Linked DNA regions of Struthio camelus. The protein of the gene in region 2 interacts with the protein of the main gene of each other region in a pairwise test. Links are inferred from orthologs where the notes say so. Each region holds a gene or a part of one and is shown on either strand. Other genes may lie near its edges.

Region 1 (7,948 bases), on a different chromosome or scaffold from region 2:
GCCGGCACCGACCCGGCTGCGGCCGCCCGATAACGGCGAGCGGCTGCTCCGCCGCGCCGCCTGCAGCGCCGAGCACCGGCGCCCCCGGCCCCGCTCTACCGGCCCCGGCCCCGGCTCTGCTGGCCCCGGCTCTGCTAGCCCCGGCCCCGGCCCCGGCTCTGCTGGCCCCGGCTCTGCTAGCCCCGGCCCCGGCTCTGCTGGCCCCGGCTCTGCTAGCCCCGGCCCCGGCCCCGGCTCTGCTAGCCCCCGCTCTACCAGCCCTGGCCCCGGCTCTGCTGGCCCCGGCTCTGCTAGCCCCGGCCCCGGCTCTGCTGGCCCCGGCTCTGCTGGCCCCGGCTCTGCTAGTCCCGGCCCCGGCTCTGCTGGCCCCGGATCTGCTGGCCCCGGCTCTGCTAGCCCCGGCCCCGGCCCCGGCTCTGCTAGCCCCAGCTCTGCTAGCCCCGGCCCCGGCTCTGCTGGCCCCGGCTCTGCTAGTCCCGGCCCCGGCTCTGCTGGCCCCGGCTCTGCTGGCCCCGGCCCCGGCTCTGCTAGTCCCAGCTCTGCCAGCCCTGGCCTCAGCTCTGCTAGCCCCGGCCCCGGCTCTGCTGGCCCCGGCTCTGCTAGTCCCGGCCCCGGCCCCGGCTCTGCTGGCCCCGGCTCTGCTAGCCCCGGCCCCGGCTCTGCTGGCCCCGGCTCTGCTGGCCCCGGCTCTGCTAGCCCCGGCTCTACCAGCCCTGGCCCCGGCTCTGCTGGCCCCGGCTCTGCTAGTCCCGGCCCCGGCCCCGGCTCTGCTGGCCCCGGCTCTGCTAGTCCCGGCCCCGGCTCTGCTGGCCCCGGCTCTGCTAGTCCCGGCCCCGGCTCTGCTGGCCCCGGATCTGCTGGCCCCGGCTCTGCTAGCCCCGGCCCCGGCCCCGGCTCTGCTAGCCCCAGCTCTGCTAGCCCCGGCCCCGGCTCTGCTGGCCCCGGCTCTGCTAGCCCCGGCTCTACCAGCCCTGGCCCCGGCTCTGCTGGCCCCGGCTCTGCTAGTCCCGGCCCCGGCTCTGCTGGCCCCGGCTCTGCTGGCCCCGGCCCCGGCTCTGCTAGTCCCAGCTCTGCCAGCCCTGGCCTCAGCTCTGCTAGTCCCGGCCCCGGCTCTGCTAGTCCCGGCCCCAGCTCTGCTAGCCCCGGCTCTGCCGGCCCCGGCCTCAGCTCTGCCAGCCCCGGCCTCAGCTCTGCTAGTCCAGGCCCCGGTTCTGCTAGTCCCGGCCCCGGTTCTGCTAGTCCCGGCCCCAGCTCTGATAGCCTCAGCTCTGCCAGCCCCGGCCTCAGCTCTGCCAGCCCCGGCCTCAGCTCTGCTAGTCCCGGCCCCAGCTCTGCTAGTCCAGGCCCCAGCTCTGCTAGCCCTGGCTCTGCCGGCCCCCGCCTCAGCTCTGCTAGTCCTGGCCTCAGCTCTGCTGGCCCTGGCTCTGCTAGCCCCAGCTCTGCTAGTCCCAGCCCCAGCTCTGCTAGTCCCGGCCTTGGCTCTGCTAGTCCCGGATTCGGCTCTGCCAGCCCCAGCCTTGGCTCTGCAAGCCCTGGCCCCAGCTCTGCCAGCCCTGGCCTGGCTTTGCTAGCCCTGGCCCCATGCCTGCCAGCTCCAGCCCCAGCTCTGCTATCGCCTGGCCCCAGCACGGAGCCTGCAGCCCGCAGCCCCCGCGTCGTGCATCCCACGGCCTCAGCGTGGAGCCTGCAGCCCCCACGCCGTGCATCCCACGGCCTCAGCATGGAGTCCATAGCTCCCACGCTGTGCATCCTGCATGGCTCCATATGGAGCCCACGGCTCCCACGCCGTACATCCCACGGCCTCAGCACGGAGCCCACGGCTCCCACGCCGTGCATCCCACGACCTCAGCATGGAGCCCACGGCTCCCACGCCATACATCCCACGGCCTCAGCACGGAGCCCACAGCTCCCACGCCGTACATCCCACGACCTCAGCACAGAACCCGCAGCTCCCACGCCGTACATCCCACGACCTCAGCATGGAGCCCACGGCTCCCACGCCGTGCATCCCACGGCCTCAGCACGGAGCCCACGGCTCCCACGCCGTGCATCCCACGACCTCAGCACAGAACCCGCAGCTCCCACGCCGTACATCCCACGGCCTCAGCACGGAGCCCACGGCTCCCACGCCGTGCATCCCACGGCCTCAGCACGGAGCCCACGGCTCCCACGCCGTGCATCCCACGGCCTCAGCACGGAGCCCACGGCTCCCACGCCGTGCATCCCACGACCTCAGCACAGAGCCCGCAGCTCCCACGCCGTGCATCCTGCCTGGCTCCATATGAAGTCCATAGCACCCACCCCACGCACCCAGGTGCAGGACCTGCCCTCTTGCACCAGCGCCGCACCGCACAGCGCCCGCACCCCCCCAGCCCGGCCCGCCGTGCCCGCGCGCCCCGCACCTACCACCCGCGCTGGCTCCGGCGACGGCGCTGCCCTGGGCGCGAGCCCACTGCTGCCGGCGGCGCAGGACCGACGCGCCCGCGGCCCGGCTCCCGAATGCCGAGTCACGCTGGCCCCCTAATCTGGCCGGGCCACCGGCCGGCGGGCGCGCGCCCGCCCTCACCCGTGGCCGGCCCCATAAACAAGGTTATCGGGGCGCACCATCTTGCAAATTCGGGGCTGCGCCCTGGCCGCCCGCCCGCCTCCCCGGCTTCCCCCGGCCCGCGGCCCCGCTCCCCCCGCGCCAGCCCGGCCCCCGCGTCCCGCATCGCGGGGGTTTCCCCGAAGGGAAACCCCGGGAATCCCGTTTCCGTGACACTTATTTACTGGGATTTGATTTTTTTTTTTTTTTACTTAAGAAAAAACCGAGGGTTCCCGGGGAGGTTTCCCCCGGCGCAGAGGAGCGAGGCGAAGGCAGGGCCTGCAGGTGACGGTGGCGGTGGCAGCGGCGGGACGTGTCTGCCCGCCCGCCGGGAGGCTGCGAGTCCCGGAGCGTCGCCATCCTCGGCGCTTTCCGGGGGCGATCCCAGCTGGGTGCTGCACGCAGAAGAGCAGTGCCTTTCCCTGCGCCGTTTCAGGGCGCCCTCAGGCGTTAGGGCGAGCCCCGGGCGCCGGGGGGCCGCCGCTCGGCTGCAGAGGCGAGATGGGGCTGCAAAGGCTGCGGTGTGCGGTGCACGGCACTCGGCGCATGGTGCACGGCACACGGCACACGGGGCACGGCACATGGCACGCAGTGCACGGCATGCAGTGTGTGGTGCACAGCACATGGCACGTGGTGCACGGCACACGGCACACGGGGCACGGCACATGGCACGCGGTGCACGGCATGCAGTGTGTGGTGCACAGCACATGGCACGTGGTGCACGGCACACGGCACACGGGGCACGGCACATGGCACGCGGTGCACGGCATGCAGTGTGTGGTGCACAGCACATGGCACGTGGTGCACGGCACACGGCACACGGGGCACGGCACATGGCACGCAGTGCACGGCATGCAGTGTGTGGTGCACAGCACATGGCACGTGGTGCACGGCACACGGCACACGGAGCACAGCACATGGCACGTGGTGCACGGCACATGGCACGCAGCATGCGGAGCACAGCACATGGCACATGGTGCATGGCATGAGGCATAGTGCATGGCACATGACACACGGTGCACGGCTCATGGCATGCGTTGCACAACACATGGCACGCGGAGCACAGCACATGGCACAGCACGCAGCGCACGACGCCTTCTGCACAGCCCTGTCGAGCTCGAGGTGCTGAACCCGCCCTGTGCAGTGGCCAGGAGCCCCGATTCCCGCAGCGAGCCTCCGGGCCGGACGCATCCTCGAGTCCTGCAGCGCGCTGCAGTGGCGGACGCTGCCCTGACACCCGCAGCCAGCCGGGCACAGCTCCCTCGCGTGTGCAGACAGATGTGTGCGCGGGTGTGCATGTGCATGCGGATGCACGCGTGTGTGCATGCGCACGTACATACACGAATGTGCATGCATGTGGGTGTGTGCGCATGCGTGTGCATGCGGGTGCACACACATGTGCAACCTTCCTAAAAGGCTCCCAGCTCCGAGCCCCAAACCCAGGCCCTTTGGGCACCCATCCAGGGTGCAGCTGGGGTGCAAAGATGCTGCAGGCGAAACCCTCCCTCGCACCCAGCTCTGACCACTGGCGCCCGCTACCCGGCCCCATCGGGCCCCTCGGCCGCGGGTTTGCTGAGCGGCAGGCGGGTGGCCGCCTTGGGAGTGCGATAGCCCCCGGGGCTGGGTGCTGCGATTAGGCGGGCGGCGCCGGGCCCTGGCGTTATCTGGGTGCCGCCAAGGCCGCCCCTCCCCGCGCAGCCCCGCTGCTTCTGGGGCGCCCGCGCTGCCCTGCCCTGGCGCGATTCACCCTCCCATCCAGTTGCCCCCTTATCGCAATGGGGAAACTGAGGCACGGTGGCGGCGGTGGGGTCAGTGCTGCCCCGACGGCTCCGGCTCAGGGGGTTTCTCCCAGCCCCAGGCCACCGCGAGCCTGCGGGGCGGCACGGTGCTCGGCCAGCCGTGACCCACCATGCCCAGCGGGTAAACTGAGGCACGGAGGCTGGAGGCGGCGGGGCCGAGCTGGCGCCCGTGCCAGCACCTCGAGCAACATGTCCCCGGTAGGGGCAGCTCCCACCGGGCGCGGGGGGACGGGATCGCACCGAAACACCCCAGCTGCCCCCCCCCGGCCGCCCCGAAACGGGAGCCCTGGGAGCGGGGGCTGCCGCAACACCCCGAGGCCGGGGTGGGGGGGGCTGCCTGCTCCTGGATCCGTCCCCCGAGGCTGGCGGCGGGGGGGGGGGGACACGAAAGGTCCCCGCTGTCACCGAGGGCTCACGGTGGCCAGGCCGGAGCCCGGCCCTGCCGCCGCTCTGCCCGTGGGGTCCCGGCTCTTGCCGGCGCGTCATGGCGAGGGGCTGGGCCCTGCCGGGAGGAGGGAGCCCGGCACCCACCCCCAGCCCGCCACAGCGCCTGCCCCTTGCTCTCCTCCCCGCTTTTTCCCCCCCCCTTGTTCCCTCCATCCCCGCGGGGGCTGCTCGGGGGGGGCGTCCAGGGTGGCGGAGTGGGAAAAATCCCCCTGCCCGGCTGCAGCATCCTTCTGGGGCCCTGCATCCCGCCGGGGCCCTGCATCCCGCCGGGGCCGTGCATCCCGCCGGGGCCGCGCGGGGGGCCGGGGACTCGGCGGGGCCGCGCCGGAGGCAGGTGGGCCGGCGAGAGGGGGGTCTCGCCCGCCGGGGCCGGCTCGCCCCGCGCTGGATGGAAACGAGCTGCGTCCAGGCTGCCATGGCTCTGGGGCTCTCGTCCAAGAAAGCCTCGTCCAGGAACATCGCCGTGGAGAGGAAAAACCTCATCACCGTCTGCAGGTGGGTGCTGGGGGGGGGGGGGAAGGACCCGAAAACGGAGCAGGGGGGGATAAGGTGGGGGAGAGGGGAGCAAGGTGGCCAGGGATGGAGGAGCTGGATGGAGGGATGCGGGGGGCAGCGGACGGGGGGCCCCGTCCCACCCCGCGGCCCCTCCGGCCCCGGCAGAGGGGATGATTTTTATTTTTATTGTTGCTGCTGTTGCTTTTACCCCGGGAGACGCAATTTTGGGGAAGGGGGGAAAGGATGCTGCTGCTGCAAAAAGGGCTGGAGAGGCAGAAGGGAGGGGTGGAGGCGGCGAGGGGCGACGGGGCCAGGGGACGAGGGTGGGCGGCTGTGCCCTGGTGCTGCTGCATCGGCCGCCCGGGGGGGGTCCCGGTCCGGGGGGGCGGGCAGGGGGCCGCCGTGCCAGGGACTCGGGGTAGGGGGGAGGCCACGGCGATTCGGCTACACGACAACAACATGGAGGCTGCCGGCGGTGTCGGGGGGAGCCGGGGCCCGGCGAGGGGGAGGGATGCTGGCGGGGACCGGGGATGGGGGGGCTCGGCGGGGTCGCCCCCGCTCAGGGCGCGGGGGTGGCGGGGGGCTGCGCGGGGGGACCCGAGCGCCAGGTGTGGGGCCGAGGAAGTGACGTCAAGGCGGCCCCGGGATGGGGGATGAAGGCGAGCGGGGATGGAGGGATGATGGCGAGCCGGGATGCAGGGATGCGCGTTGGCATGGCAACGCCCGGCTGGACCGGGGCGCCGGGGCCGGCGCCGATGGGGGCCAGCGGTCCCAGTCCCTGGCTGTGGGGCTGCGGGGGGGGGGCCGCATCACCCCCCACCCCGGGAGCATCCTTAGCGGTGGCTCGTGCCCGAAACGCAGCCCCGGGGGCAGCCGCTCGGCCCCCCGCGGGTGACCCCCCCCCGCCGCCGGCGACGTGGCCGAACCCCATGCCGTGACCCCAACCCGTGCTGGGTTTCCTCAGCAGCCGGCTGCTCTGAGCACCCCCAGCATCGTCCTCCAGCCCGTTGGGCCGAGCGGGAGGTGACCACCCGGCTGGACGCGGCGGCCTCCGCGCGGGGCTGAGCTCAGGGAGGGGAAACTGAGGCAGGAGCCGGGCGCAGCCGGGATGGAAACCCGGCCCCGCGGTCCGGGCCGGCTCGGGCCGGCGGCACGTAGGGCGGAAAGGGAAGCCCTGGCAGCCGGTGCGGGGGCCGGGGAGGAAACGGGGAGCCTTTTGTTCGCTTTTCCTGGCCGGGCGCGGAGGGGCCGGGCGCCCTCCCCGGGGAGCCATCCCTCCGGCACCTGCGCGCCCCGGGCGCGAGCTCGGCGCGAGCCCCCGAGCCTCGGCCCATCACGCCGCGCGCCGCCCCGGCCGGCGTTTGTCCCCGAGCCGGGTCCGGCCGCAGGACAAAGCGTTTCCGTCCCCCGGGCCGAGCCGGAAGCGGTGGGGGGGGGGGGGACGCCGGCAGCGGCCGCGAACGTCTCCCCAGGGTGCGCGGGAGGCGCGTGGCCGGCCCGCCGCGCGGCACCCGCCCGCCAGGGCGCTCGGCACCCGGCGCCGCGGCTTGGTGATGCCGCTTAAAACAACCCCGGTTATATATCCCCTCGGTGGTACAGGGGAAGGGGCCCAGGAGTCCTGCCGGCAGCCCCAGCGGCGCGAGCCATCCTTTCGGGAAGCACCGCGTGCAAATGGCTTTTCCTTATTGCTCTAAACGCCCGGCCCGGCGGGGCGCCTGGATGTGTTGGATTTGGGTGCGTTCTCCTCCCCGGGCAGCGGAGGGGGCCCAGGAGTCCGGGGACCTGCTGCACCCCCTCCGAGCCCCTCCGCAGCACCAGCGCGCCCATAACTCACCCCCCACCACCACCACCCCGTTGACACTCCTCTGGCCGGCAGGTTTTCGGTGAAGACCCTGCTGGAGAAGTACACGGCGGAGCCCATCGACGACTCCTCCGAGGAGTTCGTCAACTTTGCCGCCATCCTCGAGCAGATCCTCAGCCACCGCTTTAAAGGTAACGGCGGCAGGCGCCGGCGCGGGCGTGCTGCGCGGGAAGGGCCCTGCGGCCGGCCCCCGTGACCGCAGCCCCCCGCCGTGTCCCCCAGGCCCCGTCAGCTGGTTCAGCTCGGATGGGCAGCGCGGGTTTTGGGACTACATCCGCCTGGCCTGCAACAAGGTCCCCAACAACTGCGTCAGCAGCATCGAGAACATGGAGAACATCAGCACCTCCAGGGCCAAGGTCAGGATGACGTCGGTCCCCACCCCATCCCCATCGTTCCCCAGCCCCAGCCCTGGCCTTGGCCCCAGCGCCTTCCCCACCTTGTCCTCGTCCCCATCCCCACCCTGGCTCCATCACCTTCCCCATCCCCATCCCTGCCCCTATATTCCTGCCCTAGCCCCATCCCCGTCCCCATCTCCATCCCTGTCCCCATCTCCATCTCTTTCCCTATGCTCATGCCCATCCCCATCCCTGGCCCTGGCCCTGGCCCCATCTCCTTCCCTATCTCTGTCCCCATCCCCATTTCCATCCCCACCCTGGCTCCATCACCTTCCCCTTCCCTATCCCTATCCCCATCCCCATCCCTGTTCCCACCATGTTCCTATCCCCATCTCCATCCCCATCCCTGTCCCTATCTCTGTCCCTG
Region 2 (7,371 bases):
AGGGGAAGCGAGGTGGGGGGGGGAATGGATATTCAAACACAAAGGTTAGAGAGGAGAGGGAACCAAACAAGCAAAAAATTAAAGCCACATAGGCTAGAACATCCTTTCTTTTTTAACATCCTTTCTTTTTTTTTCTCCTGTAATTTCTATTTCCCTGCTTTTTCCAAGTGGCGTGTGGGAAGATAAAAAGTTACAGAAGTAACTATGAAAGCGTCCCAAAAAAATCACAGAGAACACAAGCGGACGTTTATTTTTCATATGCTTCTACAATTTCATTTGGAGTTTCTTCCCCTAGAGAAACAGTAATTTGCCTATAATTTAGTAATTGACAAAAGTGAGTAATACGTTCATACTTCCTCAAAATCTAGAACATCAGCCACAAAACAGGCAAATTCATGGAATTACCTAGGGCAGAAATTCACTCTTAATACAGTGTGTACTTTAAAGAAAGAGTCTGATCCCAAAGCACTGTTCAATACTGTTTAATTTTACGTGTGGAAAAGTCAAGGGTAACTCTATTAGGCTCTACCACTGAAGCACTTGGAATGACCAAGACCACACTGAGGTACTTCACATATCACTCTCAAAGCCTAAGTTTGTAAAAGATAAAAAATTCACACTTTCCAGCATTAGGAGAGACTATTTGTTTCAGTAACGGACATATTTTCCTTAAGGTCAAAGTTAAACAGCATTCTAGCTTTGAAGGGCAACATGCAAATTACTACTAGCTGCTTAGTATTTTATACACAAAAGCTGTAAAATTGGCAATTATTTCACTTCTAAATGAGTAGCTCACCATGAGGAATTTCATCGGAATAAAGATTTTTGTACACATCCATAGCAAAATCCACCATGTTGGTATCACTAAGAAGATCCAGTTTTCCTTGGAGAAGTTCTTTTTCATTGTATATCTAAAACAAGAATTATTAACAGATTTCTTTGGATACAATGAAAGAGTCTTCAATTAATACAGTTATTTACCCTTATAGTACCATTTACCTTTATAATACAGTCTATTTATAAATTCTGTCAAATTATTTAATTTTAAACATCAAATATGACAGCTTTTCAAGATGTCTCACAGTTTCTCTGTCATTTGCATACAGCCTATCAACATCCCCAATCTTGACATCAATTTCTTGCTATTCATGAATATCTAAACTTCAAAAGATAAAAGACAAATTAGCATTCTAGATAACTTTTCTTAAAGAAAGCCAATTAGTTACTTACTGGGCCAAAATAGATACTAATTCACGAAGAAATTCCAACATGAAGATTTTGACCAGGTTTTGCAGTTCTGACCCCAGAACTTAAACTGATGCAATCCATGGGTCAAGCTCAGTAAACACTTTTCAAGAAATAGTTTGCTAAACAGTATAGACTCATCAAACAATTTAAAGTAGACCTCAGGAAAGATATTCAGGGTCAAACTTACCATTAACTCTGTAAGATACATTTATGTAAAATATGTTACTAGGTCTATAACATAAAAGCAAATTCATTTTAACCTGTGCAATTATTTGGTGCTCTTTCAAACGTTTAATTATTTTTAAAGATTCCTACCCCATCAGTTGGGTACTGCTGTTACATCTTGGAAGATGTAGGAGGGGATCAACACTTACACATACCCCCAAACTACATCTGCATGGGGGCTGTATTACAATTCCTTGCATCACAACTACAGACATCTCAAATGGAAAATCCACAAAAGATTAATTCAGCTTTGAATACCATTTCGTTCAAGAGCAACCTAGCAAAAATAACAAGGTTTAGTTAACTTCAACCGGGTTTACAGCAAACTCCAAAAACACCAAAAATAACGCCCCTAAAACAAATGAAGCAGGAAACACACAAGATACAAAAACAAGGTAGGTTAGACTGTTTCACTGTATGCAGCTTGATTCTGAAGCCTAAAATAATATTTATTTCAAAATTCAAGCCTTAAGTAACCTTACAATTCTGTTTCCATTTATTTTAAAATGGATCAAATGGATACCTCAGACCGACTAAACTCTCATCGACTTTAACTGATGTATTTACTGCATTATTTGGGTTCCTTTTAGTTTTTATTAACATAATTAAACAGGAAAGACCCATGGGGGGGACTTGCGCTTGGTTTAAGCGCAAACACGGAAAGTTTAACGATGACGGCAGCTGTAATTTAAAGTCGGTTAGCAACGAGACCTGCACTGACGCAATCCCACGCACCGCCCCGCGGCAGCGCCCAGCCGACGCGCCGCGCTGACGAGAGCTATCGCACGCTATCGGAAGCTTACAGAAAACAAGCCGCGGGCGTGAGGCAGAGCTCTCCTCCTTCCCTCCTCCAGGCGAGGGGACGGGAAAGAAACCAGAGTAAACGCAAGGCGGGGGGGGGGGGGAAGGGAACAGAGACTCTCCCTCCCCAGGGAGCTAGGCTGCGGAGGAGCGGCTCCCCCCGGCCCGCCCGCGGAGAAGGCCCACACGTCTCTTCCGCACCGCCTCCCCACATGGCGCCGGGGCCCCGGGCCCGCCCCAAGCTGCCGGGGCGGCGAGTGCCGAACGCCCTGGCGGGCCGGGTCAGGTCGAGCTAGGCCAGGCCAAACCCGGGGGACACCAGGCGCGGCGCGGGCAGGGCCCTGCAGCGACCCCCAAACCCGCGAGAGGAGCCGGCCAGCGGCACCGCCTGCCACTTCCCCGCGCCGGCAAGCCGGCTTCTCCGGCTGCAGGAACGCCCCGTACCTCCTTGACGGAGAGGAACTCGAGCAAGGGGAAGACCAAGTGCCGGTCCAAGAAGTGCGCGATTTTGGTGGTCAAGTCGTACTCCGCCATCTTGGGGCCGGGAGAGAAAGGGGCGGGCTGGGGCTCGGCTCAGCGGCACGCGGCGGTTAAGGGCTGTGCGCCTGCGCCCGGCCTGCGCATGCGCAGGCTCCCCCGGCCGGGCGAGGGGCGGCGCGCGCCTGCGCCTGCCTCTTCTTAGCCGCTGTGCGCGGCTGTTGGGGAGGGGGCGCGGCCTGGGGGGGAGGTCGGTCTGCTGGGGCTGCAGTGCGGGGCCTAGAGCCTCTGCTGCAGCGGCGTGAGAGGAACAGCTGGGCTGAGCCTTGGGGTCGTTGCAGCTTCCCTGGAGGCGGCTGCAGAGCCCGGTGGGACCGAAGCGTTGTGGGATTGGGGGCAGGGCCGCGGCCGGGACGGAGGTGATGGCGTCAGCCGTTACTAGCCGTTCAGCGTCTGCCCGCTGCGGTTGAGTCAGTTTGTCAGGACTTGAGCTCAGAAATGATTCAGATGGCTTTTTAGAAATGGTGTGGAGCGGCCTTGAGACGTGGGTCCTGCTGCGTGTGCAGTGTGGAAGCTTGACCTGATTGAGTCTGGGAAAGAGGAACGGGCAGGGGGCCTAAACTGTCTTTTGCACCTTGAGAAACCTATTAAGCTTGACCAGCGTGACTGATGAGACGTAATGGGTGGGGGACACAGCTGCCAGAGCAGGACCCAAGGAAGGATGTGTTAGCGTTGCTGAGTTTAGCAACAGGAACGTGGAACCACTAATACAGATCATAACTGGGGTGTTTATTTCTTGTAGTCAGTGTAAGAAAGTTCGGCAAGTTCACTGGGGTGTTTAACTCACCGGCATATTCAAGAAAAGTGTAAAATGCACCTTGTGTGTTTATAGCTTATATGAAAAAGCCTATAAAGGAGCATTCTCCAACAGCTGCAGCTTAGCTTAGTATTTCAGCTGGGATTGTTGGGTATCTGGCTCCTTTTTCAAGTGACCTGACTGCCTTTTTTCTTTTTTATATTAATCTATTTTTTCTATTATTACTATTTTAAGTGGCAGTCAGCTCCTTGTCAGGAGGAGTCAAAAAAAAGTCAGTCAAAAAAAGTACTCCTTCGCATCGCAGATCATTCAGACTTGCTGTTAATACATGTTAAATCTGTGCATGTTGATCAGGTTTGCCTGAGGTACTTGCTTTTTATTTGCTTGAGTGTGGGTTTTTTTACATCAAATTATAGTTTTATATGGGGACGAAGAGAATCATTGTTGATGAGAATGATATTGCACAGTTATCTGGAATAAGAAGTGGGATTTTTGCCTTACAAAGATACTCGAAGAGTGCTGAATGTGTTTTTAAAATATGTGATTTAGGATGCTGTCAGGTACATGGAATATATAAAATGCAAGGCTGTATCTGCCATAGATGTGATCCACATTAAAGTGCCAGGCCTCCATCTTGTATCAGTTAGAGGTTAAATCTCTATCAACAGCTAAAACAGGTAAGTGAGACCTCTTACAAGGAATTGTTTTTCCATACTTAGTTTCTCTTGCTCCTACTTTCTGTGAAGACTACTTGATACAGTTTTTCCTGCCTAGCTTGAAGTCTGGTGGGTCAAGAGGAACCTTTCAGCCCATAACACTGAAGAGCTTTTTTTTTTTTTTTTCTGGAAGTGTAATTCCATGTTAGTTTTGTCTCATTTCAAAAGCTTTGTGTGACATGTGTTTTATAGTCTTTGCATTTGATTCCATTTCTTGTTTCTCTTCTGACTTTGTTATTCTCAATGTAGGCCTTAACAGAGGCATCAGACACAATGACAGCAAACCCTTTTCTTTATATAATAATAAAATTGAGACATGCAGTTGAGGGAAGGTGATACTAATAAAAGAAGATGTAATTGCAAAAAGTGTACTGTTTTGTAGGAGCACTCATTTTCCTCAGCAGTGCTCACTTTAAAAAAAATAAAAAAACCGTAATAAATTATTGGCATTCAGTCATGCAGTTGGTCCAGTCTGAAACCAATCTGTTGCCTTACTGTACATAGCATCTTCATTACCTCCAGTTCAATTCTGTAGTGCATTTATAATCGGTAACAAAAAGGGTATAAGGTAGCAAATAATGCAGATAGCTAAAAATCCTTATTGTAACCAAAACCTGATTGCTTTGAATTATTGATTTACTGGCCCATCATCAGGCCAGTAAAGACATCAGACATGAAACTAGAGACCAGCTGAAAGTCAGCTAAAATAATCTGCTTTTAAAGATTGATTAAGAAGGAGAGGGAAGAGTGACAACAATACTTTTGGGATTTGTTTATTTTAAGTACTGAAGAGTAAAACTCATGAATTCGGCAACACTTTAAACCTTTTGATTTTAGGTGAAAATTTTGGGCTATGTATAGTAGAAGCTACTACAGCTTCAAATTGACAAATCCAGCTCTGCGTGACAGATTGTTGAAGGGTGTGTGAGTTTCCAAATCCTATGTGTTTAGTGCATAAAAATATACTGTCAAAAAGATTAGAAAGAAGCTATTGTCAAAGCTCACTTTAATGATTTTGGAGGATGTAGAGCTGAAACTATGTAGATCTGTAGTACTTTTTTCAGATTAAGTATTCAGCTAGAGTATTGGTTTGGAATCTGCGAAATGTTATTAAAAGCGCTTATGTTGATCAAACATGATTCAGCCAAAGGTGGAAATCTTTACAGCTCAGTTGCAGTTAAGTAATGTGCTGTGGTTTGTTGACTGCACTGCAGAAACAATGCTTCTCAATGTATAGTATAGAAGCAAATATATACTATTGAATTAGGTTTACCAGGAGTTTTTCATTAATTAATCATGAACATTTCCGGTTTTAATAGGGGTTCTCTTAGGTTTGAAAACTTTTACCTCATTGATGAAGGTGTTTACTGCAGTGCTGGGCAGCTTTTTGTTGATATAAATATAGTTTGAACTGGTTGAAATATTGAAAAATTTTGATTGTTTTGGCAAATCAGGATTAGCCTTCCAAAAGTTCAGAAACATTGGAACTGTTTGTTTTGGGCTTTTTTTTAACTTGGAAAGTGTGGGTTTGGGGAACTAGATTCACCGGGAGACTTAGTGAAGTTGAAATGGTGCATAATACTGTGCTTCAGTAGGGATGTGGCAAAACTCTGTTCTAATCCATTTTGTGCTTAATTCAGAGCAAGCACTTAAAAATGACTCTTCTACTGTTTGGGTGAATTTTCTTAACAATGCCACTGTGGGTTTCTTGTTTGTTGAGACTTTTCAATGTTTAATTAAATAAATATGGTGAATAACGTATTTGTGTGAGGAGTGTTACTGAAGAAAATGTGATCATGTTTCCCTGTGGCCAGGGATCTTGATGGTAGGAGTCCAGAATTCAAATGTGTGCAATAAATTGGACGATAAGATCTAAAGTATGGAACATAATTGTAACTCTGTGACTAGAGCACTCATCTGGATCAGAGGATCTTAAGTTCCAGTGTTTTATGTTTATTTATGCTTTTGCTTCTATGAGTTAACATCTCGTTCAGCACAAGGACCACATTTTCAATGTATTATTCAAGACTTGTATGTTGTATTTGTAGAAGACCCTATAAATAATGGATTTTACTCAATCAAGTTTTAGAAACATTTTGAAAAGAATTTTTTCATCCGACATTAGCTCTTCATGCTGGGTCGATCTCATCAGTACTTTTCCTAGGGTTGACCAGAAGGTAGGCCTGAGAAGTGTGTGTTTGGAAACTAAGTCCATGATCTTCATTGCCTTCTTTAGAACAGAAGCCAGCATTCAGTGTGTGACTAGAGCCTTTCCTTTTAATGACAGCAATGTTTTCATTAACCAGATTACCAATAAAACAATTCTTAAAATTCACAAGGCAAAGATCCTCCTTACGTTTTTTTAGACAAGAAGACTTTTTGCCAAGACATTGTCAATTCAACTTTTAGAGGCTGGAAGGTTGCTTTGAAAAAGATGATGGATGACTCAAGAGAATCGTCTGATTTTTCAAATATTTTAGTTTTTTTTACTTTTGTTTGGTGACCAACATTAACCTGTGCTTAAGTTTTTTAAGGAGAGTGGAACAAAAAAGAAGGGAATCACCCACAAGCATCATGGATACAATAGAACATGAGAACTTTTTCAAACTGAAATGCTGTCTTGGAATAGCTACAAGGTTTATGTTTTTGGCTGAAGGGAGGAAATGTGTCACTGTTTTCTCAGCTATGATAAATTAGTGGTACAATTAGTTTCAGTTGTGTGAGATTTGTTCCAGCTTTCTCTTGTGTTGTATAGAGTTGATTTTTGTTCTTTTAAAAATTTGAGATGTCAGATATGTTTTCCATGTATTGTCAGAAAAAAATCTGCATGTTACTAACTGAAGGTCAAAGAAAAAAGACAATTAACTATTAAGATGATTTGGACAATAATGTGTTGCTAACATTCCGGTTTAAAGCTCAATCTCACTTTTGTTTAGGACTTGTTAACAAGCTTCATGAACTAACTTTTGTAAATAGTGCATAAAAGGTATATGATGGTCCTGCTGGAGAGATTTCCGCTGTTTTTTATTGGGAGATATAGTTGATCCTACTAAGCCAAGCCTCTTCTCATCACATAAGGCGTGACTA
Region 3 (6,934 bases), on a different chromosome or scaffold from region 2:
TCAGGGATGGAGAACAGCTTATTCTGCTCATAAAGGCAACAGGATGCAGAAGATCCCAGGCTGGGAAGCACGTGTCTTCCTTTAACAGTGTGCAGGAGAGAGAGGAAAGCTGTCTGCTGTGAAGAGAAGGGGCAACAGCTATGACCAAAAGTCAACAAGGGACTTCATATGCAGAGTAATACCGTCAGGAAGCCACTAGGGGTAAGTGGAAGATCTGGCTGACCTTATTGGTTTGGAAAGCAGGACATTTTGAGGAGAAGCTAACAGGACTGAACATAACTATGAATATTACTGTGTTTTGCAGAAGATCAACTTAGGCAATAACCAACAGTTACAACCTAAAACAAAACGCCTTTTGCAAAACTGATAGCATCTGCTTTTCATTATGTTCCCCTTCTGCCAACACACCTGCAAATAACAAGTGCAGGTGTGCTTGAGCTGTGCAGGCAAGGCTCAGACTTCCTTGCACTGAGATCTACTTGCCACTGCATCTTCGTCTGGGGCAAAATAGCCACACGAGAAAAGAGAGAAAAGGTGCAACTTGGGGGCAGAAATACCATCGGGACCTGACAAAAAGTGTAGCTAGATGCCTTGGGGTAGGGGAGCAGCTGTGAAGAAAGGGAACAGTTTCTGATGCTTGCACTAAAGCAAATGCTTCCTATTCCAGCTAAGATTTGCACTGGCATGCAGTAGTATTTGATAGAGTTTCCTCATATTAGAACTACAAATATAAGCTAATAAGCACATATTTTTGTAATATCAACATAGTCAAGCCACATCTGACCTTTTTCATCTCTTTGGATGGGAACAGAAACGTAAGCAGATATATCCATTGCTCTGAGCAACCTGGCACTCAGAGCAGTTTGTCATCAGATCGGAGCTGGGCAGGATGCTTTTCCCCGGTGTTGAGAAATGCCACAGCACGCACTCACAATTAGAGCACATAATTGACTCCTGCACAGTAGACACACCTCTCAGCTAGGAGGCTGCACTCTCCCTTGGACGCAGTTATGAACAATCCAAGGATATAACCCTCAATTTGTGCTACTTCATGTATACTATAATTAATGTCTACTTACTGCTGATGTTGAGATCCTGGAATGAAGAGCACAGCTAGCACACATTTTTGTCAATTATTAGAGCAAATTTCCTGCACAAACAATACATCAAACATTTTCAGACGTCATCACACAAACAGATGTTAAAACCGTGACAACACAACTCCCATCGGCTATTTGATGAGCAGGCCATAGTTTGGCGATTAGCTGACGTTTTACTGATTGCTCATCAGGCAAGTGTAGTGTTTGTTAGTGCGTGTTTCTTAATATTAAATCACTTTGGTCTGTAATTTCTTGGAAAGTGTGAGGGTAAGCCAGTTGGAAACAATTCTGTGTAAGCGTCACTTGCTTTGTTTTTCCTTTCCTGTGACTGCTTGTACAGCTTTGTCACTTAAGGATTCCTGTCATTTATTACCTTACTGAAGTAAAAATATTTTGTGACACCAGAGCTACTTCCTTGAGAATAAAAGAACTACTATATGTCAGAATATTAAGCATCAAAATCTATGAAGCCATAGCTGAGCTAGTCCTATAAATTTTCAGATAACAAGCAAGGCACAATTCTCAGGCATGAGAATCTCCAGTTTTAATACCCGCCCTGGTTAAAGCTACTTTTCTCCCTTGAAAAAACTACCATGAATCTAAATCTGTTTCAAGACTTCACTTGGAATAATCATAAATAATACCCCTAAGCCCCTACACACAAAAACAACCTCAAACTTCATGCCTTGAATAGCAGACAAAATACATCAAATTCTTCCCTCACGGAAACAAACAGCCATTGTCTGTACACGGAGTATAACTAGCACTAGTTGTGTAATATCATCCACAAGCTTGCCATTTCAGTCACAGAAACACATAAAGAATCAGGCCACTGCCTTGACCAACGTATCATCTATTGGCTTGATTTAGCATGGCCAGGGAGAAAAAAGGGGAGAGGTAGGGAAAGATACATGATCGGATTGTGGAGGTTAGATTTGGGGATAACCGCAATGTTGCGGTTCCTTTTTCCTGTGATAAAGTGTCGTAATGAGGATGTGAGTATTTAAGAGAAATCCGAACAAATCCATGGGGGGCTTGTCAGAGATTTCAAAAGGTTCTCTAAGCACAGATGATTGGGATAACTTTGGATGACAGCAGGTCATACGTACAGTTAGTATATGCCATGTCATTTAACCGTACTCAGATTTTAATTTTTCTGAGTAAAACTTTCTTCGTAATATGAAATGGTTTTAAGAAATGTAATCAAATAATTTTCAGAAAAAGTTGGGATTTTGGCAGACATAAGCCATAAAGCATATTTTGTATTGTTAGAAAAAAATGGAAAAATATCAGAGCAAAGGAATTGTGAATATCTTCTTGCAAAAGAGAAAAATGGCATTTTTGATCATACTTTTTCAGAAAGCCCTCATCATAAATATAACTGTGCAGTCTCCTGCATTGCACAATTCCCTCCCTTTTAATTCTAACACAGAATCGTCTTCCGAAAATATATACAGATTGTTATCAACAGGTGAAGACAGTGTAAGAAGGGTTATTTGTATTCATGCAATGATGACATTTATCTGTGAAAAAACAGAGATCTGATTTGAAAATGAACAAGCAGACAGTGGCAACGGGAGTCAAACAGCTGAGGTTAAACTCTCGAAAGTCACCTCTGTAGTTCTACTGCGGCTGAAGGAGGTCGATATGATCTTGGACAGGTCCCCCTTCTGTGTCAACTTTTCTCATGTTTGCAGTTAGCTGTGCTGGAGAAGCAGGCAAACAGATCAGCTGGTAAATGAGGCCTCGGTGGAGAGTAACAATGGCTGGTAGACCTGAGCAGCTCCCCAGCTTTGTTTGTAAAGTAAATAAAAAGAGCACATTTGAGGGGGAGGAGTAACAAAGGGAAGGACAGGCAACTACAACCTTGGCAATAACCTTGTGTTAGGCAGGAGGATAGCATAAGGCTCCTTCTGGCAGACACTCTGACACCCCTTGTTCCCAAATATAGTGCATGCCTGCCTCAGAACAGGAGGAGAAAGCAAGCTGCACCAGGAAAAACACTTGCACATTTTCTCTCTCTTACAGAGTAGTGTAGACAGCAGGGACTGAACTGACTCGGAGCCAAACCACAGCTCACATTCTCGCACAGGGATTGCACAGCTAGGTAGTTTCACCAGGGCTGGACAGCAAGATGTTTAAAGCGTGAAAATGACACATAAGCGTTACACCCTAAGAAAGTGTGAACAAAAAGTCTGAAGTCAATTAAGCTACAGAAAAAATAGACAAAAAACCTTCAGGCTGGTTTTTATAGTTTCTCTAAATGAGTATATTATCATATTTCCTCAAGTTAGCTGATTTATTTTAGATTATATATGACAATCCAGTTGCTCCCTAAAGCCCTATTTTGACAATTTCCAGACTAAAAATCCATTAGAAAAAAGGAATTACATAGACTTCAGTCCAGCTTTAAAAGCATCAGTCTTATTGCAGAGTTAAACACAGACTTGTTATCAAATTGTTGCCTCCATAACAATTGCGCTAAGACAAGAGTTGCCAAAGAATTTAGAGACTCACTGAAAAAGATCTGACATTCTAGGTAGTAGAATTCTTCACAGTTTTGTGGCTGTCACCTATAGGCTAAATTTGACTGTTGCAGCAAAACTGGATTATAACTTTCAGACACAGGAGTACACATGATCTGGAAGCTTGTTAAAAAGTAATTTGTTTTCAGAAGACACTGAACCATCAGCTCCACAGCCTTTCATCAGCTGGTTTCAGACTCCATAATGGATTAGCAGGATGGATGCTGGGCCCAGGATTTTTTTTTTTTAGCTCTCTCCCTTTGCTGGTGGGGTGGGGGCGGGGGGGGAAATGATAGACTCATTACCTCTGGTCTCAGCATAGTTAGTGGGGTGCTTGCTTTGGATGCAGGAATACAAAAAACTCCTCAGAACCTGCTATTTTAGGCACAGTGAAACACTTTTTATGGATGATAGTCACCTAACAGTAGGATTAGTCAGTGTGTTGTATGGCTAACTAAACTAGATCCCTTTTCTTGTTTCCTTTACAATCTTTTCCCTGTTACTCTTCCTCTCCCCTCTCTGCCATAGGGTGGTGTTTTTCTACTGCATGTTTAATAGCTCCCTAAATTTCTAATTTTGGTTCTCCTCAGCTCTGCCATCTGTCCCACAGTCTTTCCATGTTTCTTTTATATCACCTGTCATCCAGATCAATTGTTGCTCTGCCACCACCCCTCAGTAATATACTGCACTTCCCTCCCCTTCATTTAGGCACACCCGATTCTTTCTCCGACCTTGGCAGATGCTGAGGACAGCCTTTGAAAGCTTTAGGAGAGGTGCGAGTGCCTACTCAGCACAGAAGGCACACCCCACCTCCCAGCAGGAGAAGTCTGCCAAGCGCAAGAGCTGTCTCAGGTTATTCCCACCCCAAATTCTTTATATTCCATCCTTATATATTTCTCTGCAGACACTTTACTCTTCCCACCTTTGCTTCTGTGAGTGTCTCCTAGCTGGTTAGCATTTGGCACCTGTATGAGACCTTGGTAGCAAGAAAACTTAAGAAAATTGTGTTTGCGTTAACAGTGAGGCAGATGGAATCCGTTCTGATGAGAGAGGGGTTTATGTCCATCGTGGGGGAGATGGACCCTCAGTCTGGTACCCTGCAGGCAGATACGCTTCACTCAGGAGGGCACAACGCAGCCGACTGACGGGGCACAGGCTGGCAGGGTCTGGTCTGACTGGAGCCTCTGCTTGAAAAAAAACGAGCAGAAAGAGCTGCCACAGGCCACTAGGAGATGCAGCATTCAGGCTTAGCAGCCCAGATAATACATACATAGAAAAAAACGCTTTACTTTGTAATCTAGAGGAGAGGAGGAGAGAGAGGAACCAAAGAAACAGCAAAAGCTCATGAAGCACCAATTCTGGATGAGAACGTGGGGGAGACAGAAATCAACCACCTTAAAAAAAGTGATTCACAGCAAAAGTCCCCCGCCAGGATTGAAAGGAATTTGAGACTTACTGCAAATACCATTTAAATATGTTGTGCCTTCACCTTTCTGCTTCTACACTGGGAGGACAGAGTGGGGCAGAAATCAAGACTGAAGGGAAACCAACACACCAAGAACAAGACCAAAAAGGAGATTGGCCTTTCTCTGTTTCCCTGTAAACTTACAAGAGTGTCGAGAAAGGTTGTCAAACCATTTTTGTTTCACTAATTTTGCCCTTCCCTATTCATAACGTTCGTCTTTTGTTTATCCATAATACAGCAACAGTTTAAATAGACAATACAAGCTACTGTATTATATAATTTAAAGTCAGATATGTTGTGTTTCTCAAATCTGATAAAGGACAGTAGACTTCTCTTAAAGCACATTATGGCTTTTAAAGCAAACTTACTTTTTGGAGCCAGACATTATACATTCCTGTTGTTCTTAGCAAGATCTCACACTTCTAGAAAAGTCCCATTCCATTCTCTTACTGGGTGCCAACATAAAATCATCTAACAAGAGACTTTACTCCTCAGCCTCCTCATTTTCAGCATTTGTTTTACTGAGTGGATTGTTGTTCTGCTCTCCTCAAATTAAATCCACTTACTACCTCCGTAATAACCATAGGGGCATTTTTTCCAACTGATTTTAAAATAGATGCTCTTCCATCTCTTTTTCTTTCAAAGGAAGAAAGAGAGTCACTCTTTTGTAATATCAGATTTTACTGATCTCTGTAAACACTTATTCTAATGTATTACAAGGAAATCATAACTAGATCGTCTTTCGCACTAGCAACTAAAGGATTACTGCAGTGGCTGAGGGAACCATACACAGAGTTGAGCCTCTTCATCTCTTTCATCAAAGCAAAATATTTTAACTGATGGAAGTACTGACATTGAATGTGCAAACCACAAAGGCTGTCCTACTTCTCTCTCATGCTCCAAGAATCTGATTATTTTATAGAAACTGGTACAAGCCCAGCCTCACAGACACACTCTAGAAGATTCAGTGGCTACTCAAAGCTGAAAAGTCAGAGCTCAAAATTAAGCATTTTAAACCTAGGCCTCCCATATTCCTCTTTCCTGATAGCTCCATTTCCTGCAAAAGCTCCAAGCGTTCCAGGATACGTCTAGAAAGACAAAAATCTATACCTTGAATTTTAGTAGAGCTTTAAGGCTAAGTGCTGTGTTGATGTCCAGAATTAAGTGACTGCACAATAACCAGTGACAGAAATTTACAGGCCTAGAGGAATTTCATGACTGAGAAAGAATAGTTTAACGGCCTAGGTTTAATGGCCGTTGACCGGAATTTGGAGGATCTAAATGTTAAGGTCAAGCATTTTACTGCTACTTTAGACAAGCAGACTCTATTTTGGAGCTAGCCTCCAGTGCTCTGCAAAGCAGCGCTTAAGTCCTGTCTTGTTAATATGAAAATATCTAGAAAATCTAGCAGCATAGCATATTTAACAGAATAAACAGCATATAAAAAAGGGAAAAAAAAAAGAAGTTAGAGCAACATAAAGGCTGCAACATCTTATTCTTCCTAACTTCAATCTCAGATAACATCATTATCTATTTTTTCAACCTTCAAACCCTCCCCCATGCCCTCTATTTAAATGAGTCTGCGTAGCATATGCTTGATTCAAACTCCGGATAGGAGCTTATTAATACTACTTATTTTTTAATGGAACCATGAAGATCACACAATACACAAGTCTTTAGAGCAAAGTACCTAAGACAAAATAAGTAGGAGTAAAGCATGCCTTTTCATGCTGTAAAAGTAACTTGTTCCCCAGGGTTATTTTCCAACCCTGGCTTGAAAGCGTGTTATAAACGTGGGAGAGAAGGACAAGGAACAACAGTCTCTAACAGTGACATCATAAAAC

What was found. The genes of interacting proteins can lie anywhere in the genome.
Region 1: the proteins of EIF3E (region 2) and RUNDC3A interact in binary tests that used the Homo sapiens proteins (3 or more experiments, as listed by UniProt). The two-hybrid records come from large-scale screens. The link is inferred for Struthio camelus from reciprocal best matches to the Homo sapiens genes EIF3E and RUNDC3A.
Region 3: the proteins of EIF3E (region 2) and C4H4orf19 interact in binary tests that used the Homo sapiens proteins (3 or more experiments, as listed by UniProt). The two-hybrid records come from large-scale screens. The link is inferred for Struthio camelus from reciprocal best matches to the Homo sapiens genes EIF3E and PGCKA1.

What each region holds. Positions count from the first base shown.
Region 1 is NC_090966.1:4,585,669-4,593,616, reverse strand, and holds the start of RUNDC3A (RUN domain-containing protein 3A), read left to right. Parts: upstream 1-4,942; 5' UTR 4,943-5,218; coding exon 5,219-5,325; intron 5,326-7,201; coding exon 7,202-7,317; intron 7,318-7,408; coding exon 7,409-7,542; intron 7,543-7,948. UniProt on the Homo sapiens protein: May act as an effector of RAP2A in neuronal cells.
Region 2 is NC_090943.1:153,081,667-153,089,037, forward strand, and holds the start of EIF3E (eukaryotic translation initiation factor 3 subunit E), read right to left. Parts: upstream 3,019-7,371; 5' UTR 2,809-3,018; coding exon 2,719-2,808; intron 912-2,718; coding exon 797-911; intron 1-796. UniProt on the Homo sapiens protein: Component of the eukaryotic translation initiation factor 3 (eIF-3) complex, which is required for several steps in the initiation of protein synthesis.
Region 3 is NC_090945.1:62,454,673-62,461,606, reverse strand, and holds the start of C4H4orf19 (uncharacterized protein C4orf19 homolog), read left to right. Parts: upstream 1-3,928; 5' UTR 3,929-4,364; coding exon 4,365-4,477; intron 4,478-6,934. UniProt on the Homo sapiens protein: Acts as a tumor suppressor. Acts as a tumor suppressor for colorectal cancer cell proliferation by targeting KEAP1/USP17/ELK1/CDK6 axis.